2 linked regions of the Oreochromis niloticus genome follow. Each later gene encodes a partner of the first gene's protein in a complex. Links are inferred from orthologs where the notes say so. Each region holds a gene or a part of one and is shown in the gene's direction. Other genes may lie near its edges. The genes, in order: lamin-A and zmpste24.

Region 1 (3,927 bases):
GTATCAATCACTAGCAAAGTGGGGTCCATGGAGCTGGGGGGGTCCCTGAGGGCTCTCCGGGGGGGTCCCAAGTGAAATGAAAACCACAGTTATTTAATTCATTAAACGCCACTGACTGAAAAGTGTATTGCTAACTGCTGTAGTAACAGATGTATGAGGTGTGATGTGAAATAATTTTACCTGAGCATCAGCGTCAGCTTCAGTCCAAAACAAGCTTCAGTGGGATCCTGTGTGGAAAAAGAACCAGGGTCATTTCAGAGCAGCACAAGTTTTGAAACAAAAACAAAAAAAAGATTTTGAGGTATTAAACATTTGATTTGCCATCTAATATTTTAATTACTGCAGCTTTAAACTTACAGCAACTTAATCTTGGCTTTTTGGGTCTGAACAGGCTTAATATGATGCCTGACAGTAAAAATGTGAACCACACAAAAAGTAACATGTTCAGATACACAGCAGCAAAGTGATTACTTTAAAGTGTACATTTATTTGAAAACCAGAGGGTTAACTTGTTTTTTCACTGGCACCGCAACCATCTGGCCTCTTGCAGTAAATTGAGTTTACATCACTCTTATATCACTGCATAACTACAGTACAAGCACTTTCTATTTTGCTCGTGCCACTGTTGGAGATGAATTCAGAGATTAAGACAGCACTTAAACACAAACATAAAGCACAACATCCTGCAGACTCACATCATCCTGTCTAACCTGAACTCAGTGGTGCTATCATCAGCTGTTCAGCAGGAGGAGAAGAAAAAACCCATCCGTGCTCTGTGAGCGATGTTTGCATGGGCTATTCCAGGAACAAGAAACATGACTCAAGTAAAAGTCATGTCCTCATTTAAATACTAGTATACACATCATTTCAAAATGTACTTAAAGTACTATAATAAAACCATGTATATCACTTTGTTGTTGCAGCTTGACTGTTTTAATTACATACAACGCTCGGTAGCTTTGTCTATAATAACCTAGCATCATGTATTAGCAGAATCATAGTTTAAAATCATTAAAATACGTGGCAGGGAGCACACAGTGCAAGGAATTTATCCAAAATATATTGGATTAGAGGAGGAAAGTATCATAACATACAGAAACAAAGTAGCCATGCTCTCAACACTACTCTACTTTAGTTACCTTAGTGGGGGGCACCATGAGGGGGCTGTGCCACCCCTCATACTGGCTCTCTGGACACACCCCTGTTCCATAGTCACCCCTTACACACATTTGGTTTATTTTCTCCAAACATCACCTGCTCGACTGAAACCCTCACCAGCTAAAAATACTGTCACTACCGAAGCGTTAATCATGGTCGCCAGGTGGCGCCTGCAGGCTGCATTGTAATTAGCGGAGATTGGCAGCCTAATCAAGTGTGTGGATCTGCAGGTGGCTGCTGACTCGGGTTGGCTCGACTCGGAGCTCCGCGGCTCTCCGATTTGTTCAAAGGAAACGCGTCCCAGCGGATGATATCGTGATTAACTGGGACTGCCGACATTTGGAAAGGTCACCGGTGAGCGCAGAGACGGGAGACGCGTTTTAAAGCGCTGCAGAAGAAAAGGCAGAAGAAGGCGAAGGTAGGACGGAGAGCGGAGTGTGTTTCAGCTGGAAGATGAAATGCATTTATTCTTCTTCTTATAGTTTCTAACAGGGCGCAGGCAGAGAGTTGAATCAGTTCATGAACTCTTTGACCCACACTGACAGTTTCCATTCAGTGTGTCAGCCAGTGGATGGCGTGGATGTGCTGTGCTTGTGAATGACTTCAGTGGAAGGCTGTGCACTGTGGGGTTCTATTTATGTCATATGTACTGAGTGGTAGCAGGGGGCGCCAGAGAGGCACAGAGTGAGAGCATCCTCATAATTCGTGACGAAAGCATGCATGTACACCGAGTGAGCGCTTTGTTAGAAACCACATTAGAATGAGCCAATCACGCGGCAGCAGAGCGGTGCGCGACACCCAGCAGGCGCTTCGCCCAATGATGACATCATACTCCAGAAAATAGGAATAAATATGAGGTTTGTGTCAGCTGTCCTGGTTTGAGTATTACTGAACCTGTTGATCACCCCGGATTTCCGGAAAATCTGCACTCATACTGATGCTCAGAAAACAGAAACCACACAGGTTTACCGGTAACCGAAGTCAATATTGATTGTTCAGTTTTGTTATTTGTCTCTCGACGTGAACCGGGGAAATCCCCCAAAATCCACGCTGTGAAATCAGTCAGAATCAGACTACTTTATTAATCACGGTGTGTGGGTGGAGGTGGAGGGATAAATTAAAATGTCAATATGATATAAAATATGAAGCTAGAAAAATGTAAACAATATATATAAAAATACGTTTTAAAAGGGCCACATTCCAATAAGGTCCAATTAGTTAAAATAAATACTCTAAAGTTTAATGATACTACGGACAATATACACAAGATGTGGCGAGTCTAAATAGTCCAGTTGTAGTAGAGGGTAGTTGTAACGTTTGATGGCTAGTGGCAGGAATCAGTTCCTGTGCCGTTCTCTGCATCAGGATGAACACAGAGGTACTTGAAAGCCTCCGCTGTCTGCGCATAGAAACGGGGCCAACAGACAAGGGCGTAGATTTGGTTTTGGCATTGGTGGGGACGGATGATTCAACCACCGAACCCTGCGCTGTTTCTTTTTCTTTTTTTCCTTTTTGTCTTTGCTTCTTCATTAAAAAAAAAAGAAAAAAAAGGGAGAAATATACTTGCTTACATATGCTATTCTACATGCTTTTAAACCATTTAAAATTACAATTCATAGTTTTATATGTGAATTATATAATGTTAAATTACTATTAAATAAATGACTGATTTTAGACTTTAGTTTACTTCAGCCATATTCCATATAAATCAGGTATCATACAAAAATAAAAAAAAGCTTCAAATAGAGTCATGACAATAAAAGAATATGACTTTAAGGACATTACTTCAGTTATAGTGCACCAACATCTCTTACACATTAGCACTAAGGGAACACTGAATGACCTGATGGTTTTTGTCCATAAAACTACTCGTCTAAGATTACCACAAAGTAAAAGATCTCTCAGCAAAATTATGCAACCTTTTAGGCACTATTGCCCCGATCAAGTCAGTGAGCTGGGACTTTTTATTCTAAACATGAACTACTGTTACAGCAACACACATGGACTACTGGTGCCCCACACAACAACTCAATGTCCACTATGTGAAGGAGTCTATACTACTGTTTATACTATACTGTCTATACTATACTGTCCTGGTGGACATGGCAACACTTTTTTCATGGTTACATACAGTTTTATACGGTGGCCCTGAGAGGCCAAACGGACTGCAACTTCAGAAAACACTTGCAAAAAGAAAAATGCTGCAAAAAGAAAAATGCTACAAAAAGAAAAACACTTGCAAAAAGAAAAATGCTGCAAAAAGAAAAACGCTGCAAAAAGAAAAACACTTGCAAAAAGAAAAACACTTGCAAAAAGAAAAACGCTGCAAAAAGAAAAACGCTGCAAAAAGAAAAATGCTGCAAAAAGAAAAATGCTGCAAAAAGAAAAACGCTGCAAAAAGAAAAACGCTGCAAAAGCACACAAAGCACAACGGAAATAGGAAAAAAGACAACGGAAATGTTTCTGGGGAGACAATACCCGGACGGACCAATTGCACGAACCAAAACATGCTAACAAGTGCACTGGGAGACACTTCAAAGAAGTGGAGCGGCCAAAGAGTAAACTTTCAAAAGTAAGTTCTGAATATTATGTCACTTATTTATGTGCAAATGTTTAATAATGAGGAACATTAAAACATTACTGTTGGCCACATGCCGGCAAAGTTATGTGACATTAGCGATGTTTGTACTTTCAGCATTTACTTTGTTTTAAAGCCTTTACTTTATACGCCGTTAGATAGTCGACCTTAATCTTACAGAGAATCTGATG
Region 2 (3,927 bases), on another chromosome or scaffold:
TGCTTTACATGACCTTTTTTTTTTATTTTTAAAGTTTTATTTTATGGATTATGGATCAGATAAAGCCGGACATCGTTTATAGTCCCAGACTCTAAGAAGTCCAAACAGTCCAGAGTTAGCTGTGCAGCACTTCTGTGGGATTACCTTTCAGTGAGTTACAGTATTAGCTCATTAGCAGTATTCAGGAGGCCCTGCCGGAAGGTCTGTCAGAATCCAGTTTCCCTAGCACACGTGTGGTTAAAAGTTTCAGATGCGACACTGCAATGTATAAACAGATTCCGTGCATGGGAAGGGAAGAGTGCAGCTGTGTGGTTTTAGTATTTAAGATTTTACATCGTCTAAAGTGTTTTTAATTAAAGGTAAATTGTTAGGAATTTAAATGCATATTTATATAGATATGAAAAGCCACATTAATATACACACTTTAAATGTGTGCGTACTTTTTTGTATTGTATAAAATGGGTGTGGTACAGGACCCGCCACGTTTCCTGTTGTGTTGAAGTAACTACCGTTATTTTATGGTTGGTGATTGCATGTAAATAATCACATTGAACTGAGAAGAGGAATTAAGTAGCAAAAGTCAACATTTCCTGCGCTGCCACGTCTGTTTAGCTATCGTGCTCATTGCATATATGAGGCTGCTACCGCCAGCAATAAACGTGTAGTTCTCGTGCATTAAAAAAAAAGGAATACTCTAAAACCTTAAATTATGCTTTATTAGGAGTTTAACTAACTTGAATATACATTTACATTCTGAGCTGCATTGTACACAAATATTTGTGTGGAATATTTATTAATGGGGGTTCAAATAAAGGTGTTTTATTGAGATACAAAAATTTTAACTCTTTAGTGAGTCAGTCAAATTAAGAAAATCCACTGCGGAACCAAGTTATAGAAGACGTTCCTTTGGGTGCCGAATTCGTTGATACGCATAACCAACGGGCTCGGTAGTTGATATGAATGGAATGATGTTAGTTGTAAAAGCCTAGACTTTTCTTAGGAATGAAAACTGGATGCAAAGATCTAAACTTTAGTCTGTATCTGTCTATTTGACGGAGGGGCATATTTCCCATAATTCACGTTTAAAGTGCTGTCTATTTGTCTGTAAGTGTGTGTAGAGCGGAAGCTAATTAGCTGCTAGCCTGCTTAGCTAACTGCTCTAGTAAAACAGCAAAGATGGTTGAAACTATAGTTGACCTGCCGGTGGAAAAGCAGATATTTTACGCTGTCCTAGGGTTTTCATGGACAGTATACCTTTGGGAGGCATATCTTTCTTACAGACAGGTGAGTCAATTGTTTATCAAGATTAAATCCCTCTGCTTTATAATAAAAGCAGAGCGTAAATCAACGAACCCTTGACAGCGGTTAAAACATTTGATTTTAATCTCCTGTGGACTCACTATGAGCTGTGTCTTTCATAAAGTCTGAGTTTAATATAGGATATTCTGATAGTTGAATATGTGATGCGACCAAGGGGTCAGTTTGGCAGGGTTCGTGTAATGGTGGACACCAGATTTTTTGCTATTCAGTATTTTAGGTATTTAGTTTCAAAACACAACAGCGTAAGATTTCTTAATACGAACCCACAAAGCTATGAGTCGGGTCTATTATCAGCTTGCTGGAAATGTTCACTGGTCTATTTCACGCCCAGACACGTGTCTGTGGATGTGAAATATGAAGCTGTTTGAATCCTATTAACATTTTTTTTTTTGTATCCACTTCAGTTAAGCTACACTGAAAAGTATCTCACGACAGTGTTGGGATGGGTGTAGTTCCTCTAGGAACAGGAACTGATGTAGCAAATAATACAGAGAACGTCTTTAACCCAGAATATTAGCATGTAGTCTTGATATGCTACTACACACATTGAAAGACTGCAGAGAGCCACTTTTATGAGGATATGGACAGGGATTCACACGATTATCATACACAATTGGCCTTGGCCTTCCTGTAAATCATTAGATTGATGGCAGTAGGCAATGTTTACTCGTTCTGTGAAATTTCTTTAGTTCAAATGTAGTGATTTAGAGCTAAAAGACTTCAAAGCAGTTTTTTTGTATCCCTAGTATAAAAAAAACACACATTATTGGCCTCACCTACCAGCTCAAAGGTCGAATTGTTGCAATATCGTTGACACGATTGTATAGTATAGACTCAACAGGTTAAAAAGATGCTCTTTGAAACACAGATTTGAAGGAAAACATCAAATTGGATTAGTAATGATTATATTATGATGATTTTCTCATGTGATACTTGACAAGTTTTGAGTTTAACACTTGATGAATAACATATCTGAAATATGTAACTTGGTCAGTTACACTGACAGCATTGGATCCCTACTTCATCAGTACCTTGATGAGTTTCAGTGATAATGTAACTTTATGCACATGTCTTCCTACACTGCAGAGGAGGATATATAGAACAACAACCCATGTACCGCAGGAGCTGGGCAAGATCATGGATTCTGAAACATTTGAGAAGTCACGTCTTTATCAGCTGGATAAAAGCAACTTCAGCTTTTGGTCTGGACTCTATTCTGAGACTGAGGGGACGGTAAGATGATCATTTAACTAAAAGACACAGTTGTTTTTGAGTTGATAGTCTTCCTCATATTAAAATGTTCTTTTATCACAAGTGTAGTAGCTGTGGACTTGTTGAGAAAAGTGAAAGTCAGAAAGTGTCTTCTTGACCTGCAGGACTTTAAATGGACTTGATGAAGTATTAATACAATATTAGTGAAAAGAGTGTGCTTTTTTTCCTTTTTGTTCATTTTGTTTGTTTGATATTTACGATTAGCGTAGTCTAACTCATTCTGTATGCCACACATTTAAAATATTGTGCTCAAAACTGTTTCAGCTGATTCTGCTACTGGGTGGAATACCATTTCTGTGGGCTGTCGCCGGTTCTGTGACTGCTCGCTTTGGATTTGGTCCAGAGTACGAGATCACCCAGTCCCTCGTGTTTCTGACGCTTGCTACCCTGTTCAGTGCTATAACTGGACTCCCCTGGAGTTTGTACAACACTTTCGTCATTGAGGAGAAGCACGGCTTTAATCAGCAGGTACACTGGCTGGAATGCACTCACTGTTTGTAGCCAAGACTAACTTGAGTTTGATTGAATTGAAGTTACCACAGTGACGGGTCATACTGAGGATGTGTCTTTATGTTGTTTAATGTCAAAAACACAAATGATTTAAATGTAATAAGAAGTTTTCCACTGTGAAATCTTGTCTGTTTAAACCCAAAATGAATTCAGAGACCGGAGCATCTGTGAAGAAGTAAACAGACATCAGAAGTCTAACACACTATATTAATGTCCTGTTTCCACTTTCCTCTTTTAATGTTTGTTCTTCCTCTCAGACGTTGGGGTTCTTCCTCAAAGATGCCGTGAAGAAGTTTGCTGTCACTCAGTGTATCCTGCTTCCTGTGACCTCCCTGCTCCTGTACATCATAAAGATTGGCGGAGACTACTTCTTCATTTATGCTTGGCTCTTTACCCTGGTCGTTTCTCTGGTTAGTGGCGCGTTCACCTCGCTCTGTGAAAACGTTGAAAATGCATCACTGTGTAATAAGGGAATAAGTTCCTTGTCAGATAACTAGTGAGAAACTCAAAAGAAGTACATAGTTGATACTACACCTGTAATACATCCTGTCATCTCTGTCTTCTAAGGTACTTGTAACCATCTACGCTGATTACATTGCTCCCCTGTTTGACAAATTCACACCATTGCCGGACGGAGAGTTAAAGACAGATATCGAGGCCATGGCCAAGAGCATAAGCTTCCCCCTCACCAAAATTTACGTAGTTGAAGGTATGTCTTGAATGTGTCTGTTTAGTTATCGTTCCCACTGTCACAGAGTGCTTGCTCATTGTGGGTCGTTTGTTGGGCATTTCTCCATGTTGTTGTAGAGTCTTTTCCTTACATTA

The links.
Region 2: the proteins of lamin-A (region 1) and zmpste24 are in contact, whole or in part, in a crystal structure (PDB 2YPT), measured with the Homo sapiens proteins. The link is inferred for Oreochromis niloticus from reciprocal best matches to the Homo sapiens genes LMNA and ZMPSTE24. Residues at the interface, in NP_001393912.1 of Homo sapiens: Cys661, Ser662, Ile663, Met664; in NP_005848.2 of Homo sapiens: Ser264, Asn265, Ala266, Tyr267, Phe268, Val332, His335, His339, Glu415, Leu438, Asn439, Asn442, His459, Arg465.

The regions. Positions count from the first base shown.
Region 1 is NC_031976.2:36,004,232-36,008,158, forward strand, and holds the start of lamin-A, read left to right. Parts: upstream 1-1,397; 5' UTR 1,398-1,576; intron 1,577-3,927.
Region 2 is NC_031983.2:13,757,644-13,761,570, forward strand, and holds the start of zmpste24 (CAAX prenyl protease 1 homolog), read left to right. Parts: upstream 1-899; 5' UTR 900-1,176; coding exon 1,177-1,284; intron 1,285-2,406; coding exon 2,407-2,553; intron 2,554-2,856; coding exon 2,857-3,060; intron 3,061-3,359; coding exon 3,360-3,512; intron 3,513-3,669; coding exon 3,670-3,811; intron 3,812-3,927. UniProt on the Homo sapiens protein: Transmembrane metalloprotease whose catalytic activity is critical for processing lamin A/LMNA on the inner nuclear membrane and clearing clogged translocons on the endoplasmic reticulum.